Linked DNA regions of Anolis sagrei. The protein of the gene in region 1 interacts with the protein of each later gene in a biochemical or structural test. Links are inferred from orthologs where the notes say so. Each region holds a gene or a part of one and is shown in the gene's direction. Other genes may lie near its edges. The genes, in order: EYA2 and homeobox protein SIX1-like.

Region 1 (7,968 bases):
AATACTGGTGATTTTGTCATTTGGAAGTTGTAGTTTCTGGGATTTATAATTAATCTACAATCAAAGAACATTTTGAAATCCACCAACAATTGGATTGAACTGAACCAAACTTGACACACAGAACTCCCATGACCAACAGAACATACTGGAAGGGTTTGGTGGGCACTGACCTTGAGTTTTGGAGTAGTTCACCTACATCTAGAGTGTACTGTGCACTCAGATGAGTCCATAGTGCTCTCTGGATGTAGGTGAACTATAACTCCAAAACTCAAGGTCAATGTGTCTGGATCAGACTTGGCATGAGTACTAGGCCACTCTCAGTCCCATGTCGCACGGGGTTTTTCCTCCCTGCCATGACGGGACTTGATGGCATGAACCTCACTCCAGCCTTTCATGCTCTACCTTGCCCGCACATGCACACCACGCTGCCATGCGCCGACCATGCCTGCTCTCCCCTCCCTGCTTGGAGTCTCAGAAACAGCCCTCCCCTTAGCTGAGAAGCCAGCTGAGTGGCTGGCTAATCACCACAGGAAGAGGGCTTTTGGTGGGAGGATTCACTGTCTGTTTCCAAAAAGGAAGAGAAGGACAGGCGAGAGACCTTCAGCCTTCTCTGCCAAAGGGGTTTCTAAGACCATCAGAAATATGTGTTTTCTGGTGGTCTTTGGCAACCCCTCTGACAGCCTCCTCACAACCCCCTTAGGGGTCCTGACCCCCAGGTTGAGAAACGCTGCTTTAGAAGAAAGAAGTGAAACTAATTTCTTCTGTAGCTTTAAAATTCCAGTCTTCTTTTTGGCAGGCTGTCTCCTTGTCTTGCCTTCTGTCTTGTTTCCTTGTCTGTTAAAATTCACACAACCTTTTCTTGGTGCTCCTTTGGAACAGACAATTTTACTCTGGAACATAAAACAGCAAAAAGTCATTCTATTAAAACAAAACTGACACTTCTTGTTTATTCCCTAATTTTACTGCTATGATTACAATTCCATGTTTTGAAAGATTATTTTTTTCTTATTCTCCCCCCCCCCCCTCCCTCTTTTTCCTTCTTATGATGTTGTGGGATTTGGCTTACTCAAGGCTTGAGAGAATTGGAATCTATCTGCTTTCCCTGAGGCCTGTGTGCACAGCATTAACAAAGGAGTTATCAAATCCAAAAATCTGATGGGGCTTTAAAAGTTTGGTCATGTCAGCAGTAGACAGTTAGTACTCAGGAGTATAAACAGTCTGTGGAACTGTGCCCGCAGAGTCACCTTGGGAAAAAAAATCATTTTGCAGCTTTTGAAAAATTGTCAGCTTTGCAAAATAAGCATTAACTCGAGTTACAGGTTGGTTTGGGAGCAATGCCAAGAAGAGGGGTGAAAGAAAAATCATCATAACTAAACAGCTTCTAGGGGTTGTATATCAGATCTAGGTGCATCTACAATATAGCATTAATGCAGTTTGATACCACTTTAACCACCATAGCTCAATGCTATGAAATCCAGGGATCTTTAGATTGGTGAGGTATCAGCTCACTGTTTACCAGAGAAGGTTATAGACATTATAAAACTACAATTCCCATTAGTCCCTAACATTGAGCCATGGTAGTTAAATAGTGTTAACCTCCATTAATTCTACAATGTAGATGTATCCCAAGTCACACTATGTCAGGGGTCCTCAAACTAAGGCCCGAGGGCCGGATGTGGCTCTCCAAGGTCATTTACCGGCCCTCGCTCAGGGTCAACCTAAGTCTGAAATGACTTGAAAGCACATAATAACAATACTATCTCATCAGCCAAAAGCAGGCCCACACTTCCCATTGAAATACTAATACATTATTATTTGTTAAAATTGTTCTTCATTTTAATTATTGTATTGTTTTTAAGTGTTTTTTGCATTACAAATAAAATATGTGCAGTGTGCATAGGAATTCATTCATTATTTTTTTTCAAATTATAATCCGGCCCTCAAACAGTTTGAGGGACTGTGACCTGGCCCTCTGTTTAAAAAGTTTGAGGACCCCTTCACTATGTGGTAAATGTGTTTTATCAATAAGATTTTGATTTCTCTTTCTTGAACCTGTATTTAGTTGGAAACTTAGGCCCCTTCCACACATTGAACTGGATTATATAGCAGTGTGGATTCGGATAATCTAGTTCAAAACAGATATTGTAGATTATCAGTCTTGATATTATGGGTTATATGGCTGTGTAGAAAAGCCCTACATCAAAAGTACACCCAGACTGAGGGCCCTTCCACACAGCCCTATATCCCAGAACATCAAGGCAGAAAATGTCACAATATCTGCATTGAACTGGGATATCTGAGTCCACACTCAGATAATGTGGAATTTTCTACTTTAATATTCTGGGATATAGGGCTGTATGGAAGGGTCCCGTTTTATCTGAGTCCACACTTAGATCATGTGGGATTTCATGCCTTGATGTTCTGGGATATAGGGCTGTGTGGAAGGGCCCTTGGGGATTTGCAATTGGAAAAGAGAACAGACAATACATGGGTTGGAGCTCAATGTGAATCAGCCATGATTATATAAAAGAGCCGAGAACCATACAAAGAAGTTAGATTAAGCTGAGCAAGAGTGATTGGCCTAAGTCTCCCAGGGCTCTTCTATGGCCCTTCCACACAACTATTTATTTATTTATTTCGGGCATTTATATCCTGTCCTTCTCACCTCTGAAGAGGGACTCGGGACAGCTTACAATAGGCAACCATCAGGTGCCAACACAGTACATTAGAAATCACAGACACAATTAAACACAATTTAAAAAACAATTATAAAACATTCAATTTAAAAACAGTTCACCGGTTCAAATCATAGTCCAGGTCAATCCATTGCAGTCACTAAAACATTTCCTTTCCTGTTATTCCATCTATTGTTCAAAGGCTTGACCCAGAATATCAAGGCCCCAAATCCCACAATATCTGCTTCTAATTGGGTTAACTGAGTCCACACTGCCATATATTCCAGTTCAAAGCGGATAATGTAGGTTTTTGTTAAGATGTGTGAAAGGCCCTACACTGTCATTATATCCTAGGATCTGATCCCAGGCTTTCTGCTTATCCCAGATTATCTGACAGTGGGGACTCATATAATCCAGTTTTAAGCAGAACACCTGGGATCAGATCCTGGAGTGTAGGGCTAGGGCCTGTCTGGAAAAGCCCTCAGATAGCTTAATGCCTGACTGTTAATTTGAAGCTGGGTCTCAGCAATTTCAGTTTAGCATTCTGAACCCTAAATCAGTCAAGTAATGCAAAAAACAAAACAAAAACAAAACAAAAAAACCCCTAAATAAGAGAAACCTCTGGCCACCTGAAACATCATTTCTGGTTATCACCTGGCATAAGAGGAGTGAAAATGATAATCAGCATATGCCTACCCTTTGTGTAGATCAGTATTTTCCAAACATTAGTTCTCTGGCAGTTTTGGACTTCAATTCCCAGAAGACCCAGTCAGCTTGGCCAACTGTCAGGAATTCTAGGAACTGAAGTCCAAAACATCTGGAAGACCAGAGTTGGGACACACTGCTGTAGATCAACAAAGAACAAGTTTGCACCATTATCTTAGTGACAACCTTTGAAATGTCAGAACATAACTATAACATAACCTGGCATTAATCTCTGTTCCACATAACCAACTCCTAAGGAAACACATTTTTCAGACCCTTTGTCATCCTTCAGTCAATTTTTGTCTTAACCTGAACTGGACGCAGTACCCAAACGTAGGCTTGATCAAAACAGAATTGAATTGTGACATTAATTCTTGTGGACATTATATTCCTGTTTGTGCAACTCAGAATTGAGTTTGCCATTTTAGCTGCCACATTGCATTGCTGACTCATGTTTAGCTTGCGGTTAAGCATTATTCATTCGTAAAGGAATCTCCCATTTGGTGGTGTTTTTGTTTTTGTGGAAGAGGAATTTAGTGAATTCAGGAGGAAAAAACCCATATTGAACTGGAACATTTTTGTAAAACAAAAACATGTTTCTTTTTATGCTGCTTTGCGGCCTGCTTAAAAGGGCATTCTCCAAATAATCTTGCTGGAGCATTTCTGGTAAATTGCTGCAATTGTTTAGAAGAAAGAAACAAATACATATACTGTGTGATTCTTGCCATTTTTGTGGAGGGAGGGATAAGAAGATTGGATGAGGTTTGTTGGCTAAGTGATTGCAAACAAACCGTGCCAAAAGGAGAAAAGTACGAACATTATTATGCCTCTGATTTCCTATTTCCTTAATACGTGTTGACATGCAAGATGATTAAGCAGACCTTTATTATAATCTCATGAATATTGCGAGGTTAAGTTCCTCTGAGTTCACTTGGGCTTTCTAAGGAAGTGCACATAGGACAGCCTGGGGGTATTTCCGCTTCTGCAGAAGTCTTGGATGATCTTTGACTCTCTAGATATCATGGAACAATGTCCATAATCCACTGCCATGAATCATACTAGGTAAGTCTGCTGGGATTGAAGTCCATGGCCTCTGAAGAGCCAGGAACTCACTAACCCTGATTTGCCTTTTTTGTTAAGCATAGTCCCTAGCATAGTAAGAGTCACAGCGGCATCAAAAACTGGTGAATTGCATGATTGGTCTATTGAGTGAAGCATGAAACATAGTATTTTGGAACTGAAGACTTAAGAGTTGGCATTTTGGCACACAAAGTTTGAGATATTTTTGCAAAGAAATGCAGTATATAAGCTATTGTATATGTAAGACTGTGAATATGAGGTTTTTAAAATGCTTAGCTTGGCTTCCTTTCCCTTCAAAATTTCTGTGGTAAAATAAATCTGTTCCTTATTTGAAATGCTATGGTCACCTTTCATCAGTGACAAAGAACGTTGCATAAACAGAAGGAATTGTTCCAAATTCATATATGGAATTTGGATTAGCTTGCATTTATTTTACAATCTAGATGTTAAAAGCACTGCCTGATATTGGCCTAATTAATGTGTGACCATAATCAATAGGCAGATTCATCTGTGTTTTCAGCTTTTGGAGTCAAAAAGCAATTAATGTATTCAAGAAGATTCTGGATAATCAGAAGCTTCAATGCATCGAAGAGTACTATCTCCTACTTATATTGTGTTTGTGGTATTGCTGTGTCCCTAGAAAAATCTCTCATTTATTGTACTGTTTTCATTGGAATTTATATTCCATTAAATTTATATTGATGTTATTTATCTCTTCTTTTGATTTGTCCTGTTGTTCATTATGGTATTGAATGTTTGCCACTTGTGTTCTGGAAACCGCCCTGAGTCCCCTTGAGAAGATAGAGCAGGTTACAAATAAAGTTGTTGCTGTTGTTGTTGTTGTTAATCATCATCAACATCATCATTTTGTTTTAACTTACGTTGTGAGCAACCTTGAATTGCTTGTCAGGGAAGAGTGGATTACAAACAAAATAAAATAAATTGCTATCTTTGGATAGGCTTTTGAAACATAACCCTGCAACTTGCTTTAGCAGAGGGGAAAATGTGACAGATCTACACATTACGAAGAGATGTCTTTTTCAAACTACCCTCAGGTTCTGAAAAAGAAAACCTTCCCAGCCTAAATTGCGGAGCTCCCCCTTCCAGTAGGCAAAGAGATGATCACTTAAGATAGCAAAGACAGCACCAAAAGAGAGAGCTGAGCACTAAGCAGCTTGCCTTGTGACCTCCTAAATGTGCCAGGTTTGGTGGAGGAGGTCATTCCATCTCAGTAGAAAATTCTTCATTCATGTTCTTCTTGACAAAAACAACGGGTAATCTTGGTAATTTTTCCTCCTATGAGAAGGTCTTTGAAAACCATGCAGTTTTTGACATTTACTCAAGATTCAAAACTTCTGTGAAAAAACTTGTGTGTGGCTGTTTTGCCCATAAATATATAATGAATAATATTTTCTGCACAGAAAATGTTTTACAGTATGTACAAATCAACTATGTGTGAATTTTATGTAGAATGAGTCCCCAATTGTAAAGATTCTCATTAGTCCAGGATTCTTCTCATTAAGGTTTTTCATCACTCAAAAACATGTTTTTGACAATTTTTCAGTGGGCTTTTCCAGTTTGGATAGGCACAATCTTGTCCTTCATCTCACACAGTAAAATGTCATCAGCCAGCTGTGCTAAATTTAATAACATTAATGTGGCATAAAGTAGGGAAGGAAATGGGCCATTACACATTTAACTGAAGGTGGAGTTTGCAGTTATTAAATATTATACCTTTAAAAAATATTTGTATAAATGTTACCTAATTCAGCTTGTCTTCCGCTATAGCAGAACCCATTGGCATGCAATTATCTAGTATAGCAAACATCCTAAAATATCTCTTCAGCTGTTGTGGAGTGATTTGTGTGCTGTAATGTGGGGACGTATTTCTACCCTTGAGCACTGTGGGTTTTTTTAAAGATCAGGGTGGGCAACGCCATCCAGTCTAAGGGGCAAGTTTTCATTTCCAGGACCTGTTAAAAGGTAGATGAGAGCTGAAAACAACACATCTAGTTTCATTTCATGATTTCATTCCCACCCTCTCTCTCAACCTCTTTCTTCTCCACTTTCCTCTCCACATTAGAATAGGAATCGTAATAACCTGCAGGCCATGTGCATTCATTAGTGGAGAAGGGCCCTATGTGGAAATCAAGGGACACTGCGTAAGCAGATTGTTTTATATTCGGCTGATAGGGGATCCATCTCTTTGTGGCCTTGGTCTCTTTGGATACATCAAGATTCCGCTTGTTGAGAAAGAGTTGATTTCTACAGAGTTAGTCTTGTCCTATTTTCATCCTCAGCCCAATTCCAAAATGACAGGAATTAATTTCCAATTGGCAGAAATGTCACTTCCAGTTGTCACCAACCCTTCGGATACAGAGAAGGACAAAACAGATGTATGGATGAATGGATCTTGGATTACTGAATCAGAACAAAATTTCATCTATACATGTTTATATATGTTAGCATGGTTTCTTTTGAGGTTCTAGAATAGCCAGAAGACATGAATGTCTCAGTGCTTGTCCAATCGCATGTTGAGTAGAGATATTTCGAAGACATAGGGCTGACTAACATAGGGAAAACATAGATTCTGTAAATATTTTCTCCTGAGGCACCATTTGGTTGTTTTATTTATGGTATCAGAAGTGAACCCAATGTATAGTTGTAATGTATTTTTAAAAACACAGTTTAAAAACTTGGCATTATACTCAATGTCCTTTGACCAGTAGCTGGCCACTTGGAGTGCCCCCGGTGTTGCTATAAGAAGGTCCTCCATTGTGCATGTGGCAGGGCTCAGACTGTATTGTAATAGGTAGTTTGTGGTTTGATCTTCTCTGTACTCACATGTTGTGAACTCCACTTTGTAGCCCCATTTTTTAAGGTTGGCTCTGCATTTCATGGTCCTAGAGTGCAATCTGTTTAGCACCTTCCAAGTCACCAGGTCTTCTGTGTACCCAGGGGAGAGTCTCTCATTCGGAATTAGCCATGGCATGGGTTTTAGCCTGCCACTTTTGGACTCTTGCTTTCTGAGGTGTTCCTGTGAGTATCTCTGTAGATCTTAGAAAACTATTTCTTGATTAAAGGTGTTGGCATGCTGGCTGATATCTGAACAGGGGATGGGCCAGAAATGTCGCTGCCTTGGTCCTTTCATTATTAACTGCTACTTCCTGGCGAATGTCAGGTGGTGCAATACTGGCTACACAGTATAATTTCTCCAATGGTGTAGGGTGTAGATATCCTGTGATAATGCGGCATGTTTCATTAAGAGCCGCATCTACTGTTTTAGTGTAGTGAGATGTATTCCACATTGGACACACTGGCCATTTGGTCACTTTGAATGTCTTCTGCAAGGACAGTATTTTCAAACAGTCTCTATGAAAGTAAAACTGATTAATGAATTGATAGGTTTGCTACATTTTTTTCTCATAGAGATCATTTGTCAACAATTGCTGCAGAACAGGTTGAAATTCTGCAAATGAAGCAGTCTCCAGGCATAGTGACAAGAGTA
Region 2 (7,820 bases), on another chromosome or scaffold:
ATGGGGAATGAAGGGAAGAAGAAGAGAAGGAAGGAGAGAAAGAAAGAAAGAAAGAAAGAAAGAAAGAAAGAAAGGGAAGGAAGGAAGGAAGGAAGGAAGGAAGGAGAGAAAGAAAGAAAGAAAGAAAGAAAGGGAAGGAAGGAAGGAAGGAAGGAAGGAAGGAGAGAAAGAAAGAAAGAAAGGGAAGGAAGGAAGGAAGGAAGGAAGGAAGGAAGGAAGGAAGGAAGGAGAGAAAGAAAGGGAAGGAAGGAATGAAGGGAGGGAGGAAGGAAGGAAGGAAGGAAGGAAGGAAGGAAGGAAGGAGGGAGGGAGGGAAGGAGGGAAGGAGGGAAGGAGGGAAGGAAGGAAGGAGAGAAAGAAAGAAAGAAAGAAAGAAAGGGAAGGAAGGAAGGAGGGACGGAAGGAAGGAAGGAAGGAAGGAAGGAAGGAAGGAAGGAAGGAAGGAAGGAGGGAGGGAGAGAAGGAAGGAAGGAAGGAAGGAAGGAAGGAAGGAGAGAAAGAAAGAAAGGGAAGGAAGGAGGGAGAGAAGGAAGGAAGGAAGGAGAGAAAGAAAGAAAGAAAGAAAGAAAGAAAGGGAAGGAAGGAAGGAGGGAAGGAAGGAGAGAAAGAAAGAAGAGAAAGAGGGAGGGAAGGTTGGTCATAGCAAAGTGTGGCAAGTACAGCTAGTGTGTGTGTGTGTGTGTGTGTGTGTGTGTGTGTGTGTAGGGACAGCCTTATTCTGGAGCTTCTTGGGGAATAATAAATAATGGCTGCTTGCAATCTATGTTATGCATTGAAATGAAGGATATTAGAGGCCTAGAGGACACTTCCAGGCACACATTCTGCTTCTAAGGCCCTTCCAGACAGACCCTATACCCCAGGATCTAATCCCAGGTTTTCTGTTTATCCCAGATTATCTGGCAGTGCAGACTGATATAATCCAGTTAAACAGAAAACCTGGTATCAGATCCTGGGATATAGGGCCTGTCTGGAAGTGCCCTAAGAGTCCTCATGTTTAAAGATGTTTTTAATGGTAATGGATAGGAAAAGTCATTAGCCCTCCCACTGCAAGGACCTTTGAGTTGGCCATATTGAATGAACACAACCTCCCTTGCATTTAGAAAGCCATTTCTGCTATTCCCTGGTGGTCATCCATCCAGGTTCTTAACCAGGCCAGACCCAAACCAGGCTAGGTTTCCAGATGATAATAAATAAAGGAGACAGGGGAGGTAACCACACTCTTGATCCCCTTCAGGCCCGAGTTAAATATGCCCCTTTAATTATATCGCCAGGCAGACTATTCATCTGGGCCATGATTTATTCATCCCCAGCATTAAGGTAATGAAATATGAGCTCACCAGGAGCAAACAGGTCTGAAAAAGGAAGGAGATGGAGAGAGAGAAGAGGGAGCCAAGGGGGGCATCTCCACTGGAGAATGGATGCAGTTTGACACCACTTGAAGAGTCATAGCTCCATTCTGTGCAATCCTGGGAGAAGAAGTTCTAAGACAGGGGCCTACTTGGGCTCTCCAGGTGTTTGGACTCCAACTCCCACAATTCCCAACAGCCTCAGGCCCTTTCCTTTCCCCCCTCAGCCGCTTAAGCGGCTGAGAGGGGAAAGGAAAGGGCCTCAGGCTGTTGGGAATTGTGGGAGTTGGAGTCCCAAACACCTGGAGAGCCCAAGTTGGCCCATGCCTGTTCCATCAGGCCTGTAGCCTTTTCTGCCAGAGTGCCTGGGCCTCATCAAACTATAACTCCCATGATTCTGTAGCATGGAGCTATCAAAGTTAAAGTGGGGTCAAAATGCATCAATTCTACAGTGCAGATGCACCTGCAGTGTGGTCACTGATGTTCCAGGGTAATTTCCTGCTGTGCCTTTCTGAAAAATTGATTGTTGTGTTTGCTATCAGTGATGGCCTAGCTTCTGCCCTAGCTTCTAGCTTCTAGCTCTAGCTTCTGCCAACCTAGCAGTTCGAAAACATGCAAATGTGAGTAGATCAATAGGTACCGCTCCGGCGGGAAGGTAACGGTGCTCCATGCAGTCATGCCGGCCACATGACCTTGGAGGTGTCTATGGACAACGCTGGCTCTTCGGCTTAGAAATGGAGATGAGCACCACACCCCAGAGTCAGACATGACTGGACTTAATGTCAGGGGACTACCTTTACTTTTTATCAGTGATGGAGAGAGATAGGCAGAGAGAAAGACATTGTCACAAGTGGGGGAAGTGGCTTTTTTTGGACAGACAGCTCTCACAATCCCCCAAACAATGAGCTCTGAGTTTAGAAGAGTGGCCTTTGGGGACAAACACTCCTTCGACCATCCAAAACAGAGCTTGGGAAGCTGGCTTTTTGAAGAGACACCTCACAGAATCCCCTCTGACAGATATTTTTGGAATGGTCATAGAATAGAATCATAGAGTTGGCAGAGACCTCATGGGCCATCCAGTCCAACCCCCTGCCAAGAAGCAGGAAAATTGCATTCAAAGCACCCCTGACAGATTGCCATTTAGCCTCTGTTTGAAAACCTCCAAAGAAGGAGCCTCCACCACACTCCAGGGCAGGGAGTTCCACTGCTGAACAGCTCTCACAGTCAGGAAGTTCTTCCTAATGTTCAGATAGAATCTCCTTTCTTGTAGTTTGAAACAATTGCTCCATTGCGTCCTAGTCTCCAGGGCAGCAGAAAACAAGCTTTTCCCCTCCTCCCTATGCTTTCCTCTCACATATTTATACATGGCTATCATGCCTCCTCTCAGCCTTCTCTTCTTCAGGCTAAACATGACCAGCTCTTTAAGCCGCTCCTCATAGGGCTTGTTCTCCATACCCTTGATCATTTTAGTCGCCCTCCTTTGGACACATTCCAGCTTGTCAATTTCTCTCTTCACTTGTGGTCATCCCAAAGCCTTAACTGACTGGAATATATTTGTGGGAGTTGTCCTCAATTTAGGGGAATTGGTGGGATTCTGGGAGTGGTCATCCCAAAAACTGGGGGAAATTCTAAGAGCTTTGTCGAGGGCTTTCACTGGGTTGTTGTAAGTTTATTGTCGAAGGCTTTCATGGCTGGAATCACTAGGTTCTTGTGGGTTTTTTCGGGCTATAGGGCCATGCTCTAGAGGCATTTCTCCTGACGTTTCGCCTGCATCTATGGCAAGCATCCTCAGAGGTAGTGAGGTCTGTTGGAACTAGGACAATGGGTTTATATATCTGTGGAATGGCTGGGGTGGGGCAAAGAGCTCTTCTCTGCTGGAGCTAGGTGAGAATGTTTCAACTGACCGCCTTCATTAGCATTTGAAGGCCTGGCTGAGCCTGGGAAAATCTTTTGTTGAGAAGTGTTAAGATGTTATAAGTTTTTCCGGCTGTATAGCCGCGTTCCAGAAGCATTCTCTCCTGACCTTTCACCTGCATCTATGGCAGGCATCCTCAGAGGTAGTGAGGTCTGTTGGAATTAGGACAATGGGTTTATATATCTGTGGAATGGCTGGGGTGGGGCAAAGAGCTCTTCTCTGCTGGAGCTAGGTGTGAATGTTTCAAGTGACCACCTTCATTAGCATTTGAAGGCCTGGCTGAGCCTGGGAAAATCTTTTGTTGAGAGGTGTTAAGATGTTGTAAGTTTTTCCGGCTGTATAGCCGCGTTCCAGAAGCATTCTCTCCTGACCTTTCACCTGCATCTATGGCAGGCATCGTCAGACGTTGTGAGAATGCCTGTCATAGATGCAGGCGAAATGTCAGGAGATAATGCTTCTGGAACGTGGCCATACAGCCCCCAAAAGTTTCAACAACACACTCTAAGAGGGATTTGTGTATCTGTCGGATTGTGGGAGTTGCTGTGTATCTGTCGGATTGTGGGAGTTGCCCCAAAAGCTTAGCTGGCGAGAGGGGATTGTGGGAGTTGTTGTTCCAAAAGGTGACGTTGCCAAGCTCTCCTTCTCGCCTTCTTTCCTTTCCTTCCTCACCCCAAGCCACAGCTTCGTCCCTGACCACTGCCCAGCCAGTCTGCTGCCTGTCTGCCTGCCTCCTTCTGCGCCTGCGCCCTCCTCGCCTGCCTGGCTTTGGCTGGGGCTGCTTGGCTTGGCTTTCTGTCTGTCCGGCCCTGGAGCGCCTGGCCCTCCTCCTCCCTATAGGCGCCGGCGGCAGCCAATCAGCGAGCGCCCTGAGGCGGGGAACCAGGGGGAGGGTGGGGGCGCCTTTAAGCCCGGCTCTGGCAAGACCAGCAACCTACAAAAAACATAAAAGTTTCCTCCGGTAGAAGAAGGGACCTCTCCGGCGGCATCTCTTTTCCTGGCGGCTGCTGCTGTCGGAAGAGAAGACCTCTCCTTGTTGGCCCTTCGCTCGGGGGCACACTCTTCCCCCCCGAAGAAGGAGGAGAAGGAGAAAGGGAAGGAGAAGGAGAAGAGGAAGGAGGAGAAGGAGAGAGAGAAGGAGAAAGAGAAGAGGAAGGAAGAGAAAGAGAGAGAGAAGGAGAAGGAGGAGAAGGCTACTTTTTGTCGGTCTCCAAAGTCCCTTCTCCTCTGAAGAAGCAGCCTTGGGAATCTTCTTTCTCTCGGTCTCCAAGATCCCTTCTCCTCTGAAGAAGCAGTCTTTGGAAGCTGCTTTCCCTCGGTCTCCAAGATCCCTTCTCGTCTGAAGAAGCAGCCTTGGGAATCTTCTTTCTCTCGGTCTCCAAGATCCCTTCTCCTCTGAAGAAGCAGTCTTTGGAAGCTGCTTTCTCTCCGTCTCCAAAATCCCTTCTCCTCTGTAGAAGCAGTCTTTGGAGGCTGCTTTCTCTCGGTCTCCAAGATCCCTTCTCCTCTGAAGAAACAGCCTTGGGAATTTTCTTTCTCTCGGTCTCCAAGATCCCTTCTCCAAACTGGTCTTTCTCCAGCCTTGGGAAGCTCCTTCTTCTCGCTCTTTGGAGAGGGAACATCTCCGAGGAGAGCGCCCAGCCCCAGCCCTGGATTCTGGGCTTCATCTTGGCCCTTTCTCCTCTCCAAGAGGGTCTTTCTCCTCGGAGGAAGCCTTGGGAACTAAGCTGCCCTCTCTGAAACTAGAAGAGAGTTGCGAGACCTCTTTGGAAACTGGCCCTTGCAAAGGGAAACCTCCGCCGGGAGAGAGCGCGACAGCAACCCGGGTTTGGAGGCTGCTTTACATTTCTCTTTCTGTCTGAACTGGCTTTTCTCCTCTTTCCAAACTGGCCTTTCTTTCTCCTGTGAAGAAGAAGCCTTGGGAAGCGCCTTCCCTTCGCCTCCACGGGTGCCACAAAATCCTTTTCGGGAAGGAATCCGAGTCCCCGAGTTGAGAGCTTCATTCACTCCAGCCCGGCGTGGGGAACTTTCGCCTTTCTGAACGGATCTTTCTGCTCTGAAGAAGTCTGGAGAAGCCGCCAAGTACTTCCAGAGATTCCAGACCTTTTCCTGTAACTAACCTCCGGAAAACGGCTGTCTCCAGATCTCCGAGGGTGCCGCCAGACCCCTTCCCAACCCGGTCTTTGGGAAGGAAACACCCGCGAGGAGAGCGCATGAGGGCAGCTTCGCGCTCCGAACTTGAGCTCGGCTTCATCGTGGGACTTTCGCCTTCCCGAGCGTATATTTCCCCTTGGAAAGAAGCCTTGGGAAGCTGCTTTCTGTGTGGAAGAAACCTTGGGAAACCGCTTTCCCAAAGGCGCTTTCCAAACTGATCCCAAGGAGAGCGCACAGCCCGGCATTTGGGGCTCGGACTTTGGAAAGAGAGGTGCCCAAGGAGAGCGCACAGCTCGCGCTTGGGACTCCCCAAACTCAATTTTCTCCTTGGAAGAAAGCCCTGGAAAGCTGAGTCTAGGAAAGATCCCTTTCCAAACTGATCCTTTTCTCCTCTGAAGAAGACTTGGGACTCTTGTTTCTCGGGGTGTCCCTTTCCAAGGTGGTTTTGGGGGAGAGAAGAAGACTCGAGGAGGAGCGCGCAGGGCTGAGCTGGGACCCCTTGCTCGGCTTGGCGAGGCCTTCCTCCCGTCCAGTCCCTCTTCCTCTTCCTCCTCTTCCTCTTCCTTCCCGGGGGCCATGTCCCTGCTGCCCTCCTTCGGCTTCACCCAGGAGCAAGTGGCCTGCGTCTGCGAGGTGCTGCAGCAAGGCGGCAACCTGGAGCGCCTGGGCCGCTTCCTCTGGTCGCTCCCGGCCTGCGACCACCTGCACAAGAACGAGAGCGTCCTCAAGGCCAAGGCCGTGGTGGCCTTCCACCGGGGCAACTTCCGAGAGCTCTACAAGATCCTGGAGAGCCACCAGTTCTCGGCCCACAACCACCCCAAGCTCCAGCAGCTCTGGCTCAAGGCGCACTACGTGGAGGCCGAGAAGCTGCGCGGGAGGCCGCTGGGCGCCGTGGGCAAGTACCGCGTCCGGAGGAAGTTTCCGCTCCCGCGAACCATCTGGGACGGCGAGGAGACCAGCTACTGCTTCAAGGAGAAGTCCCGCGGGGTCCTGCGCGAGTGGTACGCCCACAACCCCTACCCTTCGCCCCGAGAGAAGCGAGAGCTGGCCGAGGCCACCGGCCTGACCACCACCCAGGTCAGCAACTGGTTCAAGAACCGGCGGCAGCGCGACCGGGCCGCGGAGGCCAAGGAGAGGTGGGTGCCACACATCAGTCACTCTTTCTGCAAGGAGGTCAGCTTGGGGAAGGGACCTTGGGGGACCACGAGGCCCAGAATCCTCTCCAGACCGCGAAGCTGTTTGGGGGGATTCTGGACCTTGTGGTCCCCCAAGGTCCCTTCTCCAAGTTCCAGCCTCCTTCCTCGAGCTCCAAGCTCCCTAAGCTCCAGCGTACTTCTCCAAACTCCAAGCTTTTGAAACTCCAGACTATTTCCCCAAGCTCCAGTTTGCTCCCCAAGCTCAGGGCTCCCCAAGCTCCAGCCTATTTCCGCAAGCTCCAAGTTCCCCAAGCTTCAGCTTATTTCCCCAAGCTCCAAGCTCCCCAAGATCCAGCCTAATTCCCCAAGCTCCAAATTCCCCAAGCTCCAGCTTACTTCTCCAAGCTCCCTAAGCTCCAGCATAGTTCTCCAAACTCCAAACTTTTGAAGCTCCAGACTATTTCCCCAAGCTCCAGCTTACTCCCCAAGCTCCAAGCTCCCCAAGATCCAGCCTAATTCCCCAAGCTCCAAGTTCCCCAAGCTCCAGCTTACTTCTCCAAGCTCCCTAAGCTCCAGCATAGTTCTCCAAACTCCAAGCCTTTGAAGCTCCAGGCTATTTCCCCAAGCTCCAAGCTCCCCAAACTCCAGCCTATTTATCCAAGCTCCAAGTCCCCCAAGCTTCAGCCTACTTCCCCAAGCTCCAAGTTCCCCAAGCTCCAGCTTATTTCTCCAAGCTCCCCAAGATCCAGCCTACTTCCCCAAGCTCAAAGTTCCCCAAGCTCCAGCTTACTTCCCCAAACTCCAAGCTTCCCAAGCTCCATCCTACTTCCCCAAGCTCCAAGTTCCCCCAAGCTCCAGCCTATTTATCCAAGTTCCAAGTTTCCCAACCTCCAAGCTCCCCAAGCTCCATCCTACTTCCCCAAGCTCGAAGCTCCCCAAGCTCCAGCCTATTTATCCAAACTCCAAGCTCCCCAAGCTCCAGCCTACTTCCCCAAGCTCCAAGATCCTCAAGCTCCATCTTCCCCAAACTCCAAGCTTCCCAAGCTCCAGCCTACTTCCCCAAGTTCCAGTCTACTCCAGCCAATTGTTTGGATCCCCTTAAATTGTCTTTGGGGATGTTCTGGGCCTTGTCACTTCCTCAAGCTCTGAGAGAAACTACCTCGCTGAGGCAGAGTCTTCTGGCACTGGTCTTCCTAAAAAGGTCCTATGAAAACTTAAATTGGCTGATAAGAATGCATGGACTTGTTCCAAAACTCAAACAGTTAGGGAGGG

The links.
Region 2: the proteins of EYA2 (region 1) and homeobox protein SIX1-like form a complex in vitro, tested with the Homo sapiens proteins (2 studies listed by IntAct, with this or other methods). The link is inferred for Anolis sagrei from reciprocal best matches to the Homo sapiens genes EYA2 and SIX1.

What each region holds. Positions count from the first base shown.
Region 1 is NC_090024.1:219,245,635-219,253,602, forward strand, and holds the start of EYA2 (eyes absent homolog 2), read left to right. Parts: upstream 1-4,380; 5' UTR 4,381-4,428; coding exon 4,429-4,442; intron 4,443-7,968. UniProt on the Homo sapiens protein: Functions both as protein phosphatase and as transcriptional coactivator for SIX1, and probably also for SIX2, SIX4 and SIX5.
Region 2 is NC_090021.1:332,794,738-332,802,557, forward strand, and holds the start of homeobox protein SIX1-like, read left to right. Parts: upstream 1-4,177; 5' UTR 4,178-5,988; coding exon 5,989-6,548; intron 6,549-7,820. UniProt on the Homo sapiens protein: Transcription factor that is involved in the regulation of cell proliferation, apoptosis and embryonic development. Plays an important role in the development of several organs, including kidney, muscle and inner ear.